Linked DNA regions of Macaca fascicularis. The protein of the gene in region 2 interacts with the protein of the main gene of each other region in a biochemical or structural test. Links are inferred from orthologs where the notes say so. Each region holds a gene or a part of one and is shown on either strand. Other genes may lie near its edges.

What was found. The genes of interacting proteins can lie anywhere in the genome.
Region 1: the proteins of THRB (region 2) and NCOA6 form a complex in vitro, tested with the Homo sapiens proteins (2 studies listed by BioGRID). The link is inferred for Macaca fascicularis from reciprocal best matches to the Homo sapiens genes THRB and NCOA6.
Region 3: the proteins of THRB (region 2) and TBL1X form a complex in vitro, tested with the Homo sapiens proteins (2 studies listed by BioGRID). The link is inferred for Macaca fascicularis from reciprocal best matches to the Homo sapiens genes THRB and TBL1X.

Annotation. Positions count from the first base shown.
Region 1 is NC_088384.1:90,783,988-90,791,713, reverse strand, and holds part of NCOA6 (nuclear receptor coactivator 6), read left to right. Parts: intron 1-2,150; coding exon 2,151-2,272; intron 2,273-6,049; coding exon 6,050-7,726. UniProt on the Homo sapiens protein: Nuclear receptor coactivator that directly binds nuclear receptors and stimulates the transcriptional activities in a hormone-dependent fashion. Coactivates expression in an agonist- and AF2-dependent manner.
Region 2 is NC_088376.1:24,182,979-24,191,205, reverse strand, and holds the start of THRB (thyroid hormone receptor beta), read right to left. Parts: upstream 5,292-8,227; 5' UTR 5,210-5,291; coding exon 4,882-5,209; intron 1-4,881.
Region 3 is NC_088395.1:9,374,036-9,381,761, reverse strand, and holds part of TBL1X (F-box-like/WD repeat-containing protein TBL1X), read right to left. Parts: intron 6,806-7,726; coding exon 6,673-6,805; intron 6,275-6,672; coding exon 6,133-6,274; intron 5,222-6,132; coding exon 5,158-5,221; intron 5,049-5,157; coding exon 4,951-5,048; intron 1,018-4,950; coding exon 957-1,017; intron 1-956. UniProt on the Homo sapiens protein: F-box-like protein involved in the recruitment of the ubiquitin/19S proteasome complex to nuclear receptor-regulated transcription units. Plays an essential role in transcription activation mediated by nuclear receptors.

The DNA.
Region 1 (7,726 bases), on a different chromosome or scaffold from region 2:
GAAGCTTAAAACCCCACGCTAAGATGATTGGACCTTTTAAATCAGTTACCCTTTCAGTAAACGTTCTCCAGGTGAGTTATATTGCAAGATCATAGCAGGAAAGGCAATTAACAATTTATATTTCATTTCCTGAAGCTAAGTATTAATTTGTGTTTCTGGGTTTGATAAAATGTTTCCAGAAGGAATATTCATTGAGCTATATTTTGTGCCTTTAATCATAAAACTAAAATTTAGAGACATTTATTATGAGGAAATAATGGCTAATGAATGTAAAACAGGTTAATTGAAACAAATTGTTAGAATTATAGAAAAAGAATCAAGAAACTTTATTTCAACAAGCTTAAATGTTCAAAATTAAACCAACTACCTTTATCCCAGCCTTCCCACAATATTCTTTGTACTGTGTTATATCATGCTCACTTGCTGCTTCTTGAATCTTATACTTTAAAAGCTTATCATGGTATATTATTAATAATAACATATTTTTCTGAATTCAAACTTAATTATCTAATTTTTCTGATAGCTCTTTCTCAGTTAAATTCTTTACTAGTATCAATCTGTGGGAATAATTATTTAATAAATATTTTATTCTCTCGATAGTCTGGGAGTAAAATTGCAAGGTTATTCAGTTGCCTCTAGTGTGCATTTTTTGCCATCTTCACCAGCCCTTAGGGAAATTGCTTACTTAGGTCTACAAATTGTGAAAGCGACCTTATACAGCATCAGGACTCCTAGGAAAGGGAGACAGTGGGTTTACAGGAAAAGTACCTGCTTCCAGCTCTACCACTAGTTCACTGTGAAATCTTGGGCCTGTTTCACACACCTTTTTGGGCCTTTGTTTTCTCATTCATAACATGAGGGGGCAGGCGGGGCATGGTGGCTCACGCCTGTAATCCCTTCACTTTGGGAGGCCGAGACGGGCAGATCACGAGGTCAGGAGATCGAGACCATCCTGGCTAACCCAGTGAAACCCCGTCTCTACTAAAAAACACAAAAAAACTAGCCGGGCGAGGTGGCAGGCGCCTGTAGTCCCAGCTACTTGGGAGGCTGAGGCAGGAGAATGGCGTGAAGCCAGGAGGCAGAGCTTGCAGTAAGCTGAGATCGCACCACTGCACTCCAGCCTAGGCGACAGAGCGAGACTCCGTCTCAAAAAAAAAAAAACATGAGGGGGCTGGACCAGATATTTGAGATTTCTTAGCTCTACAATTTTCTGAAAGTAAGGGTTACCACTGAATCTTTGCCTGTAATTTAAAGTGAGAGAAGTTTTACAAGGAGCAAATTGTTACGGGGGTCTGGATGTGCTAAAGATCTGCTTCAGGTTCTAAATTTCCATGTGCTAGGGGGCTTTTAAAATGGATTTTGGTGGCTTATGAAACTGTACACAGTAGAGTGAGACAAAACACTACCTAAAAGTGGGTGAACAAAATCAGGGCAAAGGGAAACTAAAGATAGAAAAGTACAATTAGTACTGAGATTACAAACAAAATGAGGCCCATGATCTGTCTTGTTCTTTGAGAATGTGGATGTTAGTAGCTACATTTTCTTCATTTTTTTCTTCCCCACTGAAAATTTTAAGCTACACCCAGGTAAAAGTGAAGGCATCTCAAAGCCAATAGAGATGTCTGCACATTCTGCAGCAAAATTTTTGTTGTGGTGGTCTCAATCTTTATTTGTTCTCTGAACACCATTTCCATCAGCCAACCTATACACCCTTTTGCAAGGTGTTATGAATTGAGCCCCCACTGTTATATCCACAAAAAAGAAACAATCAGACCCTGTAGTTGAATTTGATCGCTACATTGGAGATAGTGTGGTTTCACAGGAATAATATCTTATAACATTGATAGCCCTATGATCAAGTCTTAAAAACATCTAAGGAATGGGTGGTTACATGAAAATTATTGCATCAGGAATTTGTGGAAAGCATTTTGAGTAAATACAGTGCTGTTAAATTAAGTGGATTTTAACATTTAATGAAATTGCCAGATTATTTTTATGCCAATATTTAATGTTTTATCCACACTAGAGAGAGATGAATAATGGTAATACAAACATTTTAGTTCTTCAGAAATAGAGGAAGGGTTAAGCTAGTTTTGTGTATTTTCTATGCAACTTATTCTAAAATATGTTACTTTTTTTTTTTTTTTTAGCACCCCAGATACTCGCCCAGCTGGTCTGGAAGAGGCTGATCAGCCACCATTGCCTGGAGAACAAGGAATTAACTTGGATAACTCAGGCCCTAAACTGCCAGAATTTTCAAACCGGCCACCAGGTGATAAAATGTTAGCTAGATTATACACTTATCACATGTGCATGTGGCATTACAAGGCTTCATTGTCTTCGAGGAAACAATAGTATTTTATCTGCTAACTAGTCTACTTCAGTGATTTAATGTGTCTCGCCTTGGTATTGAGTAAAAATTTCAGATATAACTTTTGAAGGCACATACACACATTCTATTCAAATTTGTCTTTGTTATTTTAAGTCCTCATAAAATCGGACTGAAATGGGGTTGGGCACGATGGCTCATCCACCTGTAATCCCAGCACGTTGGGAGGCCAAGGTGAGCAGATTGCTTGAGCCCAAGTGTTCAAGACCAGCCTGGGCAACATGGTGAAACTTTGTCTCTACAAAATTTTTTTTTAAATTAGCCGGGTATGGTGACACACACCTACAGTCCCAACTACTCAGGAGGCTGAGGTGGGAGTATCACCTGAGCCCAGGAAATTGAAGTTGCAGTGAGCCATGATCATGCCACTGCACTCCAGCCTGGGCTACAGGAGTGAGACCCTGTCTCAAAAAAAAAAAAAAAACCCTGAAATGTGAAGTGCCTCTTTATTCTTGTCAATGTCAAGGTTCTAGTTGGCATCAGAACAGGATAAGATTAAATGGAGAGATGATTTCACTCTAATCCTGCTTACCTGCCTTTCCTGCAGCGTTTCTTCCTGGGGCTTTTTCAAAGCAGGGAACTACCAGGGTTTAAAACAAGGTGATCTTTTTTATAGAAGTTTCATTATTGAGTCTTTAAAATATAAAAAAGATATAAAGAAAAGAGACACCCATTTTTCTGCCACGTAGGTTAATAATTTATAATAAATAGGACCAATATTGGAAGTCCCCTTTGTTGTACCCTCTCTGATTATAAAATAATACTATCCTTTAAATGTTGAAAAATTATGTCAACAATGGAAAAGCTCCTAAAACTAATTCATTCAAACATGGATATTATAGAACCAAAGCCAGCTGCCACAATATCTCTAAACCTAGTTATCTTGGCCTGAGCAATGACTTGTAACTTTATTCCCCTATGACACGGTTGAGAATGCACAACCCTTCACACTTAGGCTACTCTCTCCTGTATGTACAGAGGGTATGTTTTGTTTCTTCCTCACTAGTTATTTCAGCTCCTTTTTGGCATGAAAATGAGAGTGACATTATTTTAGGAATAAACTTTAATCTACCCCTGATTTATGTATTTTAAAAGTGAATCCAAACAAAAAGCTAAATCCATCATTATATCAATATTTTGTGTTATTTATTACAAATTGTTTGGGCATATCACACTTCCCATCAGTGAGATGCAGCGGCATAGCTGAGACTGGGTGGTCATCAGTCTTTGGGGAATATGTCCAGAAGGCATTGAGAACAGGAACATGCCTTCTTGCCTCAGACACATCTGAGGCAACTCTTCTATATTATATGAATCCCAGGGTCTTTGTATACATTTATTGCCTTCTTTCTGCAAACTGGGGACCTGCAGGCTGAATTTGGCCTATAATGGGTTTGAGTTGCTATGCAGTGTCTTAAACAAAAGTCTGAATTTAAATGCCTTTAAAGAGGGCATCTGCTCTGCAGTTTGGCATTGTTGACAGGACTCTTGCTATCTTATACCAGTCCACTTCTATTCTCTACTACCTGCCTGACCCCTAAAGGCATAGGAGTTTGCATTCCCTGAGTAATAAATTTGGTTTGTGACTGTGTTATGGGCACTGTGTGTGTCCTGGCTTTCCCTCTTCACCATTCTGTCACATCAACCCCAATCTATCTTATCATTAGTGCCTTTTGGACTGCTGCCTCCAGCTTCTAGACTCTGTAGCAGCCATGCCCTTAACTGTTACCTTTGAGAGGCTGCTGTATTGTCTATGCTGTCCTCTTTGGTATTTACTGTCTGGTGGGCTGATTTTAAAGATAAAAGGCATCCATGTCATAGCCCTGACATCAACAGGCTTTTGCAGAAATTATGATTTTCTTAATGTGGGAACCCCAGACTGAATGTGAAAAATAGGAACCTGCTATATTTGACTATATAGTCTAAAGGACAATTGAACCATAGAAATGCCATCTGTTATTGGCTTTATAAAGGTCAAGAAGGTACTCGGGCCTAAAATAAAAAAGGATTTTTAAAAAAATCTTCAAAACTGGATTCTACACATTGTATTTGTTGATACCATGGAAATCTTTGGCCAGAAGACATTAATTAGCTATTGAGTACTGAGTCTGACCCACAAAATTTGGTAGCTGCTCTATGAAAATGTTGAGTCAGCATTTCTTTTGACCGCCAGAGCCAATTGCTCTTATTCCTACACCTTCTTAAAACCTCCCCAATGTACTCTTCATGCAACAATGGAATAAATCTAGTTTGTGGAACTGGAATTGTATCCCACATGTGCACAGCTGTATGCCCACTTTTTCCCACAGAACTACCGTTATTCTTGGTTTGCGTATCTTTTTTTTTTTTTTTTGAAATGGAATTTTGCTCTTGTTGCCCAGGCTGGAGTGCAGTGGCGCAATCTTGGCTCACCACAACCTCTGCCTCCCGGGTTCAAGCGATTCTCCTGCCTCAGCCTCCCAAGTAGCTGGGATTACAGGCATGCGCTACTATGCCCAGCTAATTTTGTATTTTTAGTAGAGACGGGGTTTCACCATGTTGGTCAGGCTGGTCTCGAACTCCTAACCTCAGGTGATCTGCCCGCCTCGGCCTCCCAAAGTGCTGGGATTACAGGCATGAGCCACCGCGCCTGGCCAGTTTGTGTAACTTTTTATCTTTTCTGATTGTGAGGTTTTGGTTCTAAAATGCCAAGTAAAATCTTCACAAAAAAGAGAATAATTTGAGATGTTGCCCTCTGCATATCTAGAAGACATTGTCCTTCAGGGTTCTTTTTCCAGAATTATTTTTTATTCCTGAGGGCTATGCTTCCGCCTTCCTTATTCTCCAACTGTGGATTCATGGAAAATATTTCTCCAAATAGAGATTTGCATGTAAGAAAGTTAAGTGCAAATTAATATCCATAAAAACTTCAGTGCCCTAATTTTATTTTCAATGTGTATATCAGCTTCCATTAACTCCTACTGTTTATTAAACTGATTTACATCTGAAGGGCAATTTTAATTCAGTTGGTTTCCCCCAAAGGATTAATCCTGAAGGATGCGGCATAGTGTATGGAGCCAATGAATTGGAATAATTTTAAATTTCTCTTTCTTAAGGAACTGAATTCTAGAATTTTATATTTTACTTCTGTTGAAAGAATAAAAAGGCTGTCTTCAATGCTGTTATTTTCAATAAAACCACATCTTTAAAAAAATTATTCCTATGCTAACAGAAGAAGTGAATCCTAAATGCTTTACTTCATTCACAAGTACATTGAAATATTGATTATGACTACATGAGATCTGAATCTTGGGTAGACAGGCACTTGCTGTTGATGGAGTTTTTATCATTTCATCTGAATGTTTGGCTGGTATAGACACAGCCATTTTCAGTGCATAGCACAGAAAATCAGGCTCTTAGTACAGTCATGGCTCATTCAGACCCTACACACCAAGGAGCTCCAGGTTTTTTGATGCTTTGCTTTTTGCTTCCTTAAGCACTGTGCCCCTTTTGCTTATGTCAAGTAATGAGGGGCTGCCCCCTGCCCCAGGAGTGGGCATGCCTGAGCTGTTTGTGCATAGTCTGTGCCACCTAGATGAGTATTGCTTGGCTATACTCTAAAGGTAGCAACATTTTCTTGCTGAAAAATCTAACTTCCCTGATTTGGGGGGCTTGTTTTAGGTTATCCTTCTCAACCAGTTGAACAGAGGCCACTTCAGCAGATGCCTCCTCAACTCATGCAGCATGTGGCACCCCCACCACAGCCACCACAGCAGCAGCCACAGCCACAACTGCCTCAGCAGCAGCAGCCACCACCTCCCAGTCAGCCACAGTCTCAGCAGCAGCAGCAGCAGCAGCAGCAACAAATGATGATGATGCTCATGATGCAGCAGGATCCCAAATCAGTTAGGCTTCCAGTCTCTCAAAGTGTCCATCCTCCAAGGGCCCCCCTGAACCCCGACTCCCAGAGAATGCCCATGCAACAGAGTGGCAGTGTGCCTGTCATGGTCAGTCTGCAAGGACCTGCCTCCGTGCCACCATCACCTGATAAACAAAGAATGCCAATGCCTGTGAATACTCCTTTGGGAAGCAATTCAAGGAAAATGGTCTATCAGGAGAGCCCGCAGAATCCTTCCAGCTCGCCACTGGCGGAGATGGCCTCGCTCCCTGAAGCAAGTGGCAGTGAAGCACCATCTGTCCCAGGAGGCCCAAACAACATGCCTTCACATGTAGTACTTCCCCAGAATCAGTTAATGATGACAGGGCCAAAACCTGGACCATCGCCCCTTTCAGCAACTCAAGGTGCAACTCCCCAGCAACCCCCTGTAAATTCTCTGCCCAGCTCTCATGGCCACCACTTTCCAAATGTGGCCGCGCCAACCCAGACATCTAGGCCCAAAACACCAAACAGAGCCAGCCCCAGACCCTATTATCCTCAGACACCCAACAACCGCCCTCCCAGCACAGAACCTTCAGAAATCAGTCTGTCACCAGAAAGACTCAATGCTTCCATAGCAGGACTCTTCCCTCCACAGATTAATATTCCTTTACCTCCTAGGCCAAATTTAAACAGGGGCTTTGATCAACAAGGCCTAAATCCAACAACTTTGAAGGCCATCGGGCAAGCACCTTCAAATCTTACCATGAATCCTTCCAATTTTGCTGCCCCACAAACTCACAAATTAGATTCTGTGGTAGTGAATTCTGGAAAGCAGTCTAATTCTGGAGCAACAAAACGGGCAAGTCCAAGCAACAGTCGCAGGTCTAGTCCTGGGGCCAGTAGGAAAACCACTCCAAGCCCCGGGAGGCAAAATTCAAAAGCCCCTAAACTTACTCTGGCCTCTCAGACAAATGCAGCCCTGTTGCAGAATGTGGAGTTGCCGAGAAATGTATTGGTCAGTCCCGCTCCTCTGGCCAATCCCCCTGTACCTGGGAGCTTTCCTAACAACAGTGGGCTGAATCCTCAGAATCCTACTGTGTCTGTGGCTGCAGTTGGGGGTGTTGTTGAGGATAACAAGGAGAGCTTGAATGTGCCTCAGGACAGTGATTGCCAGAATTCCCAGGGTAGGAAGGAACAGGTAAACATTGAACTAAAAGCAGTCCCTGCCCAAGAAGTTAAAATGGTTGTCCCTGAAGATCAATCCAAAAAGGATGGGCAGCCTTCGGATCCTAACAAACTTCCCAGTGTCGAAGAGAACAAAAATTTGGTGTCTCCTGCTATGAGGGAAGCACCAACATCGTTAAGTCAACTTCTTGACAACTCTGGAGCTCCCAATGTGACGATTAAACCCCCTGGGCTTACAGATCTGGAAGTAACACCTCCAGTAGTTTCTGGGGAGGACCTCAAAAAAGCATCTG
Region 2 (8,227 bases):
ATGCAGGCTGACAGTAGCAAGGTGGCCCACCAGGGTGTGGTTGGCAGTGGGTGACAGCTGGAGGAAAGCATACTGGTTCAGGGATGGAGACTGGGGTGACAGAGAGAGGAACCCCTGGGGAGACTGGCCAAGGTTTCTGGAACAGAGGGTGTGGGTAAAAGCACAAAGCCATAATCAAAATTGAACTCTTGAGGGCAGGGAAGAGTTGGTGAAATCTGTGGTAATAGAAAAGGGCCCAAAACCTTGAGAAGGAGCCCTGTGGTGGTGCAGAGTATGGGGAAGAACTGCCCCTGAGTGGCTGGAAGCAGAAGGCTTTAAGCAAGAGAGGGTGAACCTGGAGGGAAGAAAGGCAGGAAAATATGGCGCAGGTATCTGCAGATAAGGAAAGCAGGTGTGTGGGGTGACTGCTCGAAAGCACATTCTAGGAGTCTCCGAGAGAGCTGAGGAAATTCTTTACAACAGCTGGTACCAAGGGAGCGGATGAGAGGGAAGTACCAAGGACAGCGCACGGGAAACTCAGTATTCCCAAGGCTCTGGAAACAGGAAGAATACAGATAACCAACTGGGTACCGGTGAAGCCAAGGACCCATAAGATGATGGGATCATAAAAGCTGGACCAGAGTGGGTGGCAGGGAGGGAAGCAGCTTGATTTCAGACTGAAAGCTGAGAAAAAAGCGTGCTTGACTATGAAGAAGTATTCATGGAGGCATGTGAGGTGGTGGATATGAACTCCATATGCAGAAGGCCAGCAGGGCCACCATTCCTCTGCAAGCCTGCCAGGCGTCTGACTCCATTTGCTCATAATTCTTTGGACTCCTACTGTTAGCTTTCATTGTGAGTAGGAGCAATGCATGCTCTGGATGAGGTGAGGGCATTCAGTGAAATCTCTGAAGGACATGTCTTTGACAAGAGAGTTAATTCTCAGGAAAGAAAAGGAAAGAAAAGAATCAGCTCATGCTTTTGTCTGCACTTGGACTTGGTTTGGAAATGATTATTGCTCCTTACTTTGCTTTCATTTCTGGGTGCCAAGAGGCACTTTCATTTAACCTTTTGTACAGTGAATGTGTTCTGTATTTTTAAAAGTCGTGGTATTGTTTTCTGGAGTGGTATTTTCTCTGAACCGTAAATGGGTGGCAGTACCTAATTTAAAATCCTAACTTTCCATCACATCCTTAAATTACATACACATTGTTGAAAAATCTATGATTGCATTAACCACTTAACTATTACATTTAAAAGAGATTATTTATTTAGTACTCAACAGCTCACTGGGTGGACTGATCACATCTGTGTTTAAATTAAAAAATTCAAGTAGAGGGGAAGAGTAAGGATGAGAGAGAGAGGGAGAGAAAGAGAAGATAGAGGAGGAAAGAGATGGAGGGAAAGTAGGAGAGAGGGACAGAGGGAGAGGAAGAAGGAAAGGAAAGGAAAGCTTGAGAAAGAAACATTCCCCAATTTGCCACTTAATTTTTATTTCAAATGCCTATCTAATTGTTCACCTGGAGTCAACAGAGCTACAGAACACACACACACGTACAAAAAGACAGAATTCTGTGTCCAAGTCAGAGGGGCAATGAAACCAGATTCAGAAAGCACAGTCCTGTGTGGAGTTTCTGCTTCGGTTATTAATTTTTCTTTCTGCACAACTAAAAATGTGGTTGTAGAGCAACAACATATACAATCAGAACCAAAACTGAATAGGACAACCCTCCCCCACCCCCACCCCCAGCCCCATCTCCTTGGTCCTGGCCTAAAAACAGGAAATTCTTATTCTCTTGGACATGATAACAAACTCAGGCAACTTTTCGAACATGCAGTTCCTATCAAGTAAGACGGCATGTAGAAGGTCAAGCAAATAATCCCGTGGAGGAGAGTTGCCCAGGGAAAACTCCTAGGAGGGATTCTGTTTCAACAGACCCAACCGGCCCACACTAAATTGAGAGGTTGACCTGCAAAGCTGCCTTCAGAGCAACCAGATGAAGATGCAGGCTGTTCGGGAACTTCAGAATGTAATTAGAATTTGTGATGGAAACAGCCAGCACTTCTACCCACAAAAGGATTTTTTTTTTTAAAAAAAAAAAAAAAAAGAAAAGAAGGAGAAAAAAAGTCAACTTTTTACTTTGCTGAAACCTCAGCCACAGAGGAGAAAGCACAACAAACAACCTAGTTGCCAATTCTCCTCCATCTGATTCTAGACTTATTCCCTCCTTCCCCTGAATTTGTGGGGGCCAGAAGTGTGCAGCCAGCACTGGCCCTGTGAGGACTTAGCATACCTTTGCACAGCTATGTCACTAGAATTACAGTAAATATCATATCTTCTGAGTGAATGATAGGGTTCTTGAAAATTACAAATTTGTTTTTTATAATCCATATGAAAAATAAGACACACATTACATTCTGCATTTCAGCCCTCCGCAATGTGAAAATTACATTGGTTTTCCCCTCCTCAATTCTTGAAGCTTTATTTTAAATGTGATTCAATGAACTGACATCTGATTCTTCCTTAGTTCATGTTCTTAATGCTTCCAGAGCTTGATAACTTCTTCTTTCGGCTATGAATGCAAAAAACCTTTGTAGAAAAACAATCCAAAGAAAACTAAAAGTTATTCTAAAGTCCACCAATTAAGATAACCATTCTTAACATTGGGTAGGGTAGCCTTCCTTTATTTCACCAGTTTGTACCTATAATTTTTTTATAAGATTGTAATTTTTCTATAAGATTCTCTGTATACTAGAAAATAAAGGCTAGGAAATAAGCCATCCTTAAAAAAAATAAAGAAAAAGTTAAGACAGCTGCATTATTGGAGTTTATAAAGCTGTAATGACAGAAGTGAACACAGATGAAGCAATTATGAATTTTTATCTATTGTGAATAGATAAAAATCCAATTGGAAAATGAGGCCTACCCCACTGAACACCTGTTTATAGTCTTAATTTTGCCTTAATGAGACACTACTGATGTCCTTCAACACAACAAAAATCAATAGTGGATCAATATGGATAAACATGTTGGGTACAACCTTTTGTCCTAAGAGACAGTTAACAGCTGGGTTTAGTTTTACTGGGATTTACTTGAAGACTTGTAAAAGTAAATAATGGTGCATTTAAGAATATTTGCCTGCTTTGATTTAGTGACTTTGGCAGGTGGCGGTGGCCTTTCAATGACATATGGCTTTGAAATTACATCAATATATGCATACAATGTGTCTTTTCCTCTAGTTCATGCATCAAATTAATTAGTAAAGAATCCCTGGTTTAACATTTTATAAGCAAATATTCCCCAGTGTTGGTTGAAGAAAATACAGTGAAAAGAGAAAAGAACCTCAAAAGTTCTGCAGGAATTTTTAAGAATAGCAGAATGACCACATAGATTGACAGGCACCAATATTTTCTTATAACACTACAAAAGGCATATCCAAGTATGTTTAATGAGGCAATGTTAATTTCTTCTTTTCAAAGTTAAATTACTTACACTATTAAGTGAAATAGCACATGTTCAATCTATCTCAAGTGTTTCCATTAGGGGACTTACTCTGTGTGTCTCTTGTAAGAAATGAGATTCTGACGACCTTCAAAAGGACGCAAAACTCCATGTTTATAAATAAAAATCAAGATGAGCAACTCTATATTTTATGCTGTAATCTCCTTAATATTTCATACTTGGAAGTTATAGAATAACACTATATGTAGTAAAAATTACAGATTCTAGTTTTTGTTTTTATAAAATTTTGTTCATTTGTTTTCATAACAGACTACTTTCAATTATAGAGTCACACTAAGAAAAGCAAACGATAAATTTTATAGAAACCACAACTAAATAAACCACATTATGTTTTAAGATTAATTTAACAGAGAAATTTACCTTTGAGGATCAAAGGGCATCATGTTTTTGTAAATTACAGAACCTTGTAAATTTGGTTCTCTATGCAATATCCTATAGATTATATACAGAACACATGAGATTCTGGCGTATCTGCACTAGAATTTACACTGTTTTCAAAAGCATTCCTATCTGGCAGTTGCTACTAAACGTCCTGAGTTCTACCTGTTTGCCTCCCTTATTTTATTTTTCAGTATCTTATTTTTCAGTAATGCAAGATACGTTCTATTGACAGAAATTTAAACAGCATTATAAAGCCACGGTGTCTATTAAGATATATGGATATTTTACTGGTTTTAATATTGGCTATTTTGAAGGGTGTTTCACTTCCTTTCATAAAGAGAATTCACTTGATATGATTGCAGACATGTTCAACTTTAGGGACAAAATAGCAAGGTAAAGTTTCTCAGTTTTTGTTTGAGTTTTACATTCTTACAGTTTGACATGGTTACAAATAGACTCTTTACTGTTTACATGGATAAGTAAATACATTAAAATGAACATTTACAGATCCTAGCAAATCAACATTATTATAGCACTGTCAAAGAAATCACTAACATATTTTACTAGTTAACGAAAATAAACTTTCAAAATGAAGTGCCAAGAAAAAGTCAAATGAGTTTTTAATCTGAACCTGAACTGGGGAGAATTATCCCACTTCAGACACCACAACACCTACCCACCAACTGGAAACCTTTCGCATATTTTCTTTCGCCAAGAAGCCAACAATAGTCACTTTGGGCAATATATACACACACATAGCAAAATACAGCCTAGAAAGCCAACTCACACCAGCTTTCACAGATGAAGAAAAAAAGTGCTTGGAAATCTTGATGTTCACAGAGTCCTTCAATCACCTAGCAACCCCTCTTACTGCCGTTTTTAATTTCAAATAGCGTTCACATTCAAAGATTTGACGAAGCTGATGTAAACTGTAACTTTAAAACGAAACGAAAACAAACAGTGAAACTTTGAACACATTTAAGCAAAATGGTCCCTACCTTTTTTTTGAGAATACGATGGCGACTGCACTTGAGAAAAAGTAGGCTTTTCTTCAGTGAAATATTCAGGTTGGCTGTATTGATTCAGGGCCATGTCCAAGTCAGAGTCCTTGCTTTTAAACATGTTTCCAGGGTAACTACAGGTATAAGGCTGATTCACTGCCCAGGCCTGTTCCATATATATGTTGTTACTGGGCACAGCCTGAGCATCGCAACCACTGTAACCCGGACTATCTTCAAAATACGCGTAATAATCAGTGGACTGCATGTAGCAATTGCTGCCGGCAGCTGGGTGCACTTCATATATTTCTTGCATACAGTAGTTCATTTTGTTTCCCTGGTTCAGTTTCTACTTTACATATACACACACTCTACGCATGCATTCTCCAGCCCCATACACCCTGAGAGCTGGGCATATACGCAGAGAAGCATACATACATACACATGAAACGCGAAGGGAAGATGAATAAACACCACCACCAACACAGCAACCCAGCCTGCTTTACTTTGTAATAGCACCTGATGTGCTAAAATCCTATTTAGACTGAGGTGTCTTTTGAGCTCTTCTGCCATCCAAACATATTGGAAAGCAGATTTATGACTATCAAAGGTCTTAAGCTGTGCATGCAGCTAGTTAATTCCTGGGGAAGATGGCAGGCAGGTAGGAATGACCTCCACCCAGATAGGGAAGTGGCAGCGAGAATGTTTCTATGAAGCTGCTAAGATTCATTTTATATGCTGTTTTTAACCCCTTTCAACGTGATTATAAAACGATTACTCATTGTTATGTCATTTTGCTGGACAGCTTAAGCATGAAACATTATAAAGACATCTTAGAGAATATCCTTGGATACAAAGAAAATCCTAAAATCAATAATCTAGTTTATTAGCATGAACCAGAGAAAATCCAGTAGTAATGAGCCTGATGACTGACTGACTCCAAAACATTAATCTAGCTGTGCAAATGTTACTGGTTGAATCTGTTGTTGAATGTTACTGACTGGCTTTTAATACTAGGATCCAACCATCTTCCCATGACACATAGGTCCCACTGGTTTTTAAAACATGCCAAAGAAGTATACAGTTGAAAATGCTGCTGATGTCTGCGAGTGAGTTTTATTCTGTTCCTTGCACATGATTATTTTCTACCTCATAAGCACTAATCTACATGAGACCTAAAGCTTATGTTAACTGTTCAATTCTGTATTTTATGTTTTCTTTATAAAGGCATGAGGGAGAGTGTATGCCAATGCCCCTATATGAGGAATACCCCTATTATATAGCAGCTTTCCTTTTCTGTTGGTGCTTAATAGTACTCTGATGAGTAGTGCGTGGAAAACTGTAAACACTTATCACTTTATTCCCATTCAAAACTGCTTTTGAGATTATTTTCAAGATTTAATGTGATTTAAGTGGTATTCATGTAGTTACTTAAAGATAGTGATCAAAAAGGGAACAGCATTTTCTGTAAGAATCATCATATCTTTTAACTAAGAAGTTAACAAATACCAAATTAGATTGTAAATGCTTGCTAAGATGATTACTAATAGTATTTTCTCCCTGTGGATGGTGACCTGTGTGTGCATGTCACGTATATGCATAGTTGTAGATCATGACATCAGGAAGGGCAGATGCTGCTCTTCTACACTGGCGAGTCCTGTTTCTTAGGCAGCCTGTTTTCAGGGCTGGGCCTCAGGTGGTGACGTTTACCTTTGGCTTCCTGCTGGTCCATGAGCATGTGACCGTGTTGGTATTTCTCTCTAAAGGACCATCGACAACGTAATATTGTAATTTTCAACAGTGAGACCTTTGCTTTGGACATGTAGCTCCAGTCATCAATTGCAACATGGAATTCTGGGGCAGGGACATATGGCAGAAGTAAGGAGGGTATTACAGTCATTCAACAAATTATGGGGTGTCTGTTAAGTACAAAGCAAGGAGTTGGTGGCTACAGAGATGGCTGTTCAGAAAAAAATCACTGTCTCTGCCAAAAGGTAGCTTAATTAAATATACAGTCAAGTGGACCATCATTGTGCTGTCTTTAAGTGCTGACTTTTCATAAATGTAGTAAAGGAGCCATGGACTCAACGGAAAAAGGTGAGGAATTATCGAATGAGCAAAAGATGCGACAAAATTAGAAAAGAGACCCAGGAAGATCTATGTGGAGGATAGTAATAAGACTCCTTTAAAAACTACAACTGATATAAAACAAGCAAAAGCATGTTCTTCAGTTGGTATATATTTGAACCTGTAAAATGAATCACAATATCCTAGAAAGCATGAAAAGTTACCATAAGGAATAAAGAAGACAGCTAACGTTTTAATAGTGTTTTTACTTTCTTATTACTCTTAAAACAAATAAAAGATTTATTCAGTGTTATTAAGTACACATACACAATATTACAATTAACATTTTCTCCCTACTGGAAATGTCAAAACATTTCACTGGAAGCAATAACTATTTTCTGAAAACCCCAGGAAAAAGAATCCAGGCCTTATGGTTTTTTTTTGTCTGATCTCATTTATTTATCTCAAATTTCCCAAGCCTAATATGAAAATTAACCTTTCAATAAAGCAGTTTTCTTTTTTGGCAAATGCACATGTTTCAAAGTCTCTTTTTCTGGTTAAGAGCTGCATGTTGAATCCATTCGATTTTGCAGTTTTGCCCAGTGCATTTCCTGGCTCCCTCTCTTTTTCATTAAAGGCAGAAATCCAAGCAATTTCTTGCTTCTCATCAGTGACAATATCAACTAAAATCAGAGACTCAACTTTTATTCCAAAGGAACACTTAAAAATAATTTTCAGAAATCTCTAAATGTGCTTGAAAAATTGGACAGTTATCCTCCCCTGAAACTGGATATAAACACTGCAATGAAAAAGGAAAGGAGAGCTGCTGAAACACTTTCTCTCACTTTTTACTAAACATCTGAACGGTCAACAGCATTTTTATTGAATTAAAAAAATCTTGAATCCCCTCGGAAATCTTTACATTAAAAAAAGTTTCAAAACATATTTAAGAGAGCTCACTTCCTCCCTAATGTGTACTGTTTGGAGAAAACAGAACAAAACATTCTGAAACACACTCCACACCAAATGGGAATACTCTTTACTTGTAACGAATGCACACAACTCTCATTACTAGTAGTTGAAAATGGAGCTCAACACTCACATTGAATGTGAAATATGGCCCCTCACATCCTGATAGAAGCAATCACATCTGTCGCCTGTGATCAGCCTTGCATGCTTCTTTGTAAAGTCAATAAAACCATCTAAACATATTATGTGTCACAAACGGGGTAAGCTTCAGTGAGGCTATTGTCTTATTTTCTTGATTGCCTGCTCTAAT
Region 3 (7,726 bases), on a different chromosome or scaffold from region 2:
AAATTCTTGTGCTGTTAGAAATCTTAGCTGTGAGTATGTTGAGTCCTGGGGGTCCTTGCAGCAAACCACCAATCCTGGGAGTGGTTTCGGGGAGCCCCCAAAACAGCATCCCTTTAGAACAGCAAGAGAAAGGAGCCTGCCCTGCTTCTGTGGCTGGCTCACTGCTGGGTTTCAGAGCTCTGAGCAGGTGGGTGCCGAGGACACCTCTATCTTGCAAACCTTAAGAGCAATCAATGCTTGCCACAAAATGGGTCTCCTTCTGACCAGTGAGGCCCCCTGGGCTCCATACTCTGTGCATTCAGTTACTTTAAGGGGCATTTCAGGATCTCATTCTGTTACCTAGGCTGGAATGCAGTGGTGCAATCACAGCTCACTGCAACCTTGATTTCCTGGCTCAAGCAATCCTCCTGCCTCAGCCTCCTGGGTAGCTAAAACTAGAGGTGTGTACAACACCTGACTAATGTTTTATATTTTTTGTAGAAATGGGGTCTTGCTTTGTTGCCCAGGCTGGTCTAGAACTCCTGGGCTCAAGTGACCCTCCTGTCTCAGCCTCCCGAAGTGCTGGAATTACAGGCATCAGCCATAGTGCCAAGCCTAACTTTGGATTATGATTAGTTTTTAAGACGGGGTCTCTGGCTCTGTTGCCAGGATGGAGTGCAGTGGTGCAATCTTGGCTCAGCGCAAACTCCATCTCCTGGGCTCCAGCCATCCTCCTAACTCAACCTCCGGAGTAGCTGGGACTATAGGTGTGGACCACCGTGCCTGGCTAATTATTGTATTTTTTGTAGTGATGGGTTTTGCCATGTTGCCCAGGCTGGTCTTGAACTCCTGAGCTCATATAATCCACCTGCTTTGGCTTCCCAAAGTGCTGGGATTACAGGCGTAAGCCACTGGGCTCAACCTGAATTATTATTTTTGAATTACAAAAAAACAAACAAACAAACAAAAAAACTCACCCGAATGAAAAGGAAACTGCTGTTTGGCTTCTCCTGTGTGGGCATCCCAAATTATTGTTGTCTGTGCTCCGCAAACAAAGGAAAAAGTTAGTAACTATTCCCGCAGTTTTCTCTGGAAACATTTATCATACAAGAAAAGACAGTGAGCCCTTCTCCTTATAAACCCACACTGTCCAAGAGAGATAGAGAGTGAGCCTTACGGGCTAGTTTCAATTTTCTAGGATCCACATTAAGAAGAAAGAAACTGGTAAAATTCGTTAGCAATCTATTATGTTTAACTCCAGTATGCCCCTAAATATTACCATTTCAACATGTAATCAGTATCAAAACCTTGCTGGGATATTTACCTTCTTTTTCTCGCATACCACATCATTAAAATACAGCATGTTTCAAACTTAGCAATCTGGATGGCCATGCTTGATGAAGCCATCAGCCACATATGCTGGCATCTCCCTTAACTCATTTATGCCTGAGGTTGCAATTTTTTGAATTCTTGCAATCAGACCTTGGCAATGACCCTGAGCAGTAGGATATAAATAACTCCCACATGCCTAGCATTCCGATAATGGAACACTAGGCATAAATGGGCTTAAGGACAGAGCATCCCTAACGAATACTTGCAAGAACTACCAAAATTGGTAGGAATTCCTCCTCATCCCCAAATGCCAAAAAATGTTGAAAAACCTGGAACAAAGCATCTCTAAAGATCTTTGTGGCATTTTTCCAAGTGAAGGGCTGCAGAAACAAGCATTTCTAAAAATGCCTCTGCCCATCCCTCCATGAACCGGGGACACTAGACATGGCAGAGCCACTGGCTTGCACTGGGGCCAGGCACCGACGTATTGGTCTAACAGTAAGTAGAAAGGTGAGTTTCTCCCTCGGAAAACAAAGGAAATCATGAATTTTTATTAATTTACTCATGCTAGGAAGATACTTAGAAAACCAGCTCAATGAATAGCATTGGAGTTACATCTTCATCAACTGGAATTTTCAACTTAATTGGAAATTTTACACCTCTCTGTTAGTGACACTCAGTCAAGATTTTGCTTTAAAAAGAAAGAGTTCTATTTTGTGTTGACTGTGGACATTTTCAGAGGAAAGCAAGCAGTGAGTCTCTCTGAAACTTGGTACTCCTGGGTTTTGGATCAGTCCTAGACCAATTAACATTTCTTTGTTGGGGTGTAACTCTTCTTAATTTAGCCACGCAAAAACAAATCTAACACTGCAGAGAATATATAAACTCTTTCACAGTTCTGATACCATTTCACATATGACATCAGTGACTGGGTCTCTTAGTTGATGTTAAATATACATTGGACAAAAGAAAACAGTTATGCAAACATTTGAAGAATGTGACACACATTTTAGTCACTCTGTGTTGGTCAATACCAGCATCCCCTAAGTTACATTTTCTCCCCGAGTGTTATGTACAAGGACATTATTTTCACTCCTGCTGTGGTTGACTAAGTAATGATAGTGGATCGCACCCAGCCCAAGAGACTAACATAATTCCACATACGCATTTTCACTGATCACATAGTCCATCACCTGGTGGAGTTAAGACTGATAATCAGTGAGAAAAACAATCACGAATGTTAACAGTCTCCAGGTAGGAAGGAGGCCGGCTATTTAACAAACAGAATTTTTTGTTAAATTTAGAATTCTACGGAAGTTAAAGGGCAGTAGTTACCGGTGACCAGGGCCTGAGTTCCCATCCCTCTGCACCAGCTGTGTGTCCCTAGGCAAATTAATAACCCTCTCTGGGCCTCCAGTTCATCTTCTATAGAATGGGAGTGATCCTACTTGTGCCTGTCTCCTATCTTGGCAGTACTGGATGGGTTAACACACGCAGTAGTGAAGTGCTTGATAAAGAAAAATGCTGTCATTTTCATGAGTTATTTTAATAACTCAAGCAGCAATTACTGAGAGCCTACTGAATGCACAGCAAAGTGCTGCATATGCATGTTACTTGAATTAGAACATCTTGGCAAAAATCCGATAGTAGCTACATAAGAACGTTTATGTGTCAACCACAGCAACTCGGCTTTTAAAATATCATAAACCAGGCTACTAAGTCTGAAAGAAAGGTTTTTTGGCTTAAAAGAGAGAGAGCAATTATAAATGAATGATTTGTTGACCTAGTTATACCCTAGTGCAGGACTTCGCAAACTTTTTCTGTTAAGGGCCAGGTGGCAGGAATTTCAGGCTTTGAGGGCCATCCGGTCTCCCTTGCAACTGCTCATCTCTGCCACTGTAGCATGAAAGCAACCATGGAGAAGTCTCAACAAAGGGGTGTGGTTGTGTCCCAATACAACTTTATTTAAATTAAAAAATCAGGTGAGGAGCCAGGCTTGGCCTGTGTGACAGTTTGCCAAATGCAATTATTTAATTTAGCAATTTCTCCAAAAGTGGGATGATGTTCAGAGGTCAAGTCTATCATTTTATTTATTTGTTTATTTATTTGAGACAAAGTTTTGCTCTTCTTGCCCAGGCTGGAGTGCAATGGCGCAATCTTGGCTCACCGCAACCTCCACATCCCGGGTTCAAATGATTCTCCTGCCTCAGCCTCCTGAGTAGCTGGGATTACAGGCGTGCACCACCACACCCGACTAATTTTGTATTTTTAGTAGAGATGGGGTTTCTCCATGTTGGTCAGGCTGGTCTCGAACTCCCGACCTCAGGTGATCTGCCTGCCTTGGCCTCCCAAAGTGCTGGGATTACAGGCATGAGCCACCGCGCCCAGCCAAGTCTATCATTTTATAATAACTTTCAGAACTAGAAAGAATAGAAAGCTCTTAGTCAGGTTTTTTTGTTTTGTTTTGTTTTTTTTGAGACAGAGTCTCACTCTTCTTCCAGATCCAGGCTGGAGTGCAGAGATGCAATCTCGGCTCACTGCAACCTCCTCTGCCTCCCTGGTTCAAGAGATACTCGAGCCTCAGTCTCCAAGTGTCTGGGATTACAGGTGCCTGGCACCACGCCCGGCTAAGTTTTGCATTTTTAGTAGAGGCTGGGTTTCACCATGTTGGCCAGGCTGGTCTCGAACTTCAAGACTTAGTAAGTTTTCAAGTTATCCTGAAATCATCACAAAATGCAAAGCTTTGTGGAGGCCCGGGCATCCAGTATTCAGGCAATGTTTCCATTTGTTGTAGAAACACAAATTGATGTGAAAACACATCTTTTTTTTTTTTTTTCAATTCTAAATAATATGCTTCTTTTCCAAAGCAATTCCTGCTGAGTCTCGGGAACGCACAACTGTTCCACGAAGGCTGTCTGGGGTCATGACTCCAGCCAGCCCTGTCGCTGGACAAGTGAGGGAAGTGAAATGCAGAGAGGCTGAGGTTTCTGGCTGAATCAGACTCAGGCCCGGGATGAAGTCTGCATCTCCTTACTCTTCGCCCTTGGGTTCCCACCCCATCGATGGCTCTTAAATGCACCTGGAGTTAACGCCACCGTGTATCCCTGCAGCCCTGCCCAGGTGCAGAGCAAGCCAATTCTAAACTGACTCTGTGGGCCATCCGGAGAGTGTGCCCTTGTAGCCAGGTTGCTTGACTGCTGCTCAGAGAAATCTGCAGTCTATGGTGGGAAGCAGCAGTTTATCAAACGAGGAAAGCCGAAGCCTGAAGCACACACACAGCCTGTGCCACTCGCCCCTCAGTGGGTGAAAGTTCACGCGGGGCACACCCCATACCACATGGCTCCTTCCGGCAACTGACAAATGCAATGTGGAGATTTTCCTCTCTCTACCACTGAACCATGTACCTCAAATAAAGGGAAGCTTTGCACAAGGGTCTGCAGGACAGAATATATTAAGAGATGATGTGTTACAAATTAACAGAAAGATCAAAACCACAAAAACAAAGCCTAAACAAATCCTTTTCGTTTCTTAAGGGGAAGCACAAAGCCTAAGAGTTCCAGGAAACCACGATGGTATTTTGAGATTAAAAATATATAACCACCTGTGGATCAAAGGGATATATTTTAAGCTAATACTCACTTTGTCTACACCAGCACTCAAAATGTAATTCCCCTTTCTGTTCCATTTCAAGGCAAAGATGGGGCCTTTATGTTGGCCTAAGGTGCTGGCCAGGTTACCTGTTAGTAAAAACAAACATGTTGACTTCAATGTCACGGTCTGTTCACTCAAGGGTTAAGTTTGGCAACTCCTCTTACCCGACCTCAGCACGAGGGACACAGAACTCACCATCTTCCGTCCATATTCTTGCAAAACCGTCATATGAACCTGTAGCCAAGAGTGTTCCATTGGTCTGAGGGCCAGAAAGAGACAGAAACACACAAAAACAACTTAGGAGTGGCAGCACCAAACAGCTCCAAGAGCCTCTCCCAGGAGCCCGCTACACTGGAACCATTTGCCACTGTGTGTTCCTTAATGACAGAATTGAAAATACCATGCTGAAAGGTATCGCGAAACCTTGCAGAAAATAAAAAGCAGCCAAACTGTGTGCATCCCATGTGTCAACGCACAGGATACCTGCTGCTGAAATCCCAAGGTGGAGGGTCACCTCTCCTGGGCTGCACGTCGTATCTCTCCAGGAGAACTACCTCGGGGCTCCCGGCCTACCTTCCCACCATGAGGCCACAGGCTCATTTTGCTATGGCATGCTCACATGCAAAGATACGGCTACCGAACACACAGCTCGCTGCCTGCCAAATGCAGCCTTGTTAATACCTCTTAGAAGCCAAGACTGGCCGGGGGCAGTGGCTCACGCCTGTAATCCCAGCACTTTGGGAGGCTGAGGCAGGAGGATCACATTGGGTCAGGAGTACGAGAGCAGCCTGGCTGACATGGTGAAACCCCATCTCCACTAAAAATACAAAAATTAAGCCAGGTGTGGTGGCGCGAGCCTGTTAACCCCAGCTATTTGGGAAGCTGAGGACAAGAGAATCGCTTGAACCCAGGAGGCAGAAGTTGCAGTGAGCTGAGATCACACCACTGCATTCCAGTCTGGGCAACAGAGCAAGACTCTGTCTCAAAAAAAAAGAAAACCCACACAAAAAAAGAAGCCAAGAGCACCTCTCTGGCAGCCCATTAGAGTGGGGCTGAGCACACGGGACCACCTGCCTCCTATGTCTGCATGAGCTCCATGGCTGCAGTCCTCCCCTGGTGGCTGGCTGATTTTACCAATTTCAAAGTGCCCAGGGGGTGGAAGACGCTTACATTCCAGTCCAGTGAGGTGACATCTTTGTTACTTGGGACATCGTGGCCCCCTTCTCGTATACAGTGCCTCAACACGAGCTGGGTGGAGCCCCCGTTGCTATTCTCATTCAGGTTCCATATCCTTGCAGTTGAGTCTCCGGATCTGCAGAATAAAAACACAGGAGCCTCTGGCGTTTGGTTCAAACGGGATAAGAAGCTCTCCACAGCTTACTCTCTGGCCAGATGGCATTTTCAGCACGTGCTCTTCTGTCTTTTTCATACCTCTGGATCCCTGTTTCCCTCCTTGCCATCTTTGCATTTGGTAATTTTAAATGCTGTTGTGTTCCTCATCACCACATGAAGAAAATGACTTGGAACGATGGCTTCTCCACAATATGAGACATGTAGAGAAATGGATCATAGAGCCACCCATTCCTCGGTCTGCCCACACTGGGGTAAGAAGGGGAGTGTGTGTTCCTTAAGGCAGAACTCCAGAGAAGGGCAAGAGCCTGCATCTCCCATCTCCCCAACTTTGGAGCGCCCCCATCCTGACATCCTTACCCGGAAGCTAGCAAATCACTGACAGGATTCCAGGCACAAATGAACACCTCGGACTCATGGCCCCGAAGGACTGTGGCTTTGCTGGATGGAATGTCAACCTCTCCATCTATTTCCATTGGCTTCGCGTGATTATCTGTTACAGGAAACACAGAGAGACAAATGGCTTACCAATACAAGAGAAACACACTTAAAGGGCGCTTTTGTTTCCAGAAATATTTCTTTTTATGTACTAAGTAATACTACCTCTGATGATCCCTTTTCTTTTCTTTCTTTTTTTTGAGATGGAATCTTGCTCTGTTGCCCAGGCTGGAGTGCAGTGGCGCAATCTCGGCTCACTGCAACCTCCACCTCCCAGGTTCAAGCAATTCTCATGCCTCAGCCTCTCAAGCAGCTGGGATTACAGGCACCCGCCACCACACCTGGCTAATTTTTGTATTTTTAGTAGAGGCGGGGTTTCACCATGTTGCCAGGGTTGGTCTCAAACTCCTGGCCTCAAGTGATCCACCTACCCCAGTCTCCCAAAATGCTGGATTACAGGTGTGAGCCACCGCGCCCGGCCTACCTCTGATGATTCTAGCGAAATCGTGGTTTTAGTGCAATTTAGTAAATATTTTAGGTTTCTTTATATTTTGACAGTCTCTAAATTTCATTGAGGAATAAAAACAATTTGCTAAGTGCAGGGGCTCACACCCAAAATCCCAGTGCCTCAGGAGGCTGAGGAGGGAGGATTGCTTGAGACCAGGAGTTCAACAGCAGCCTGGGCAACATAGCAAGACCCCATCTCTATTGAAAAAACAAAAAAACAAAAAAAAAATTAGCCAGGCATGGTGGTACACACCTGTAGTCCCAGCTACTCAGGAGGCTGAGGTGGGAGTATCCCTTGAGCCCATAAGGTTGAGGCTGTGTGAGCTATGATTGTGCCACTGCACACGCACACCAGCCTGGGTGATAGTTACTCTTTATAACTGGGGCCAGCTAACTACAGCCCATGATCCAAACCTAGTCCCTGGCTGCTTCTGCATAAATAAAGTGTGACTGGCACACAGCCGCTCCA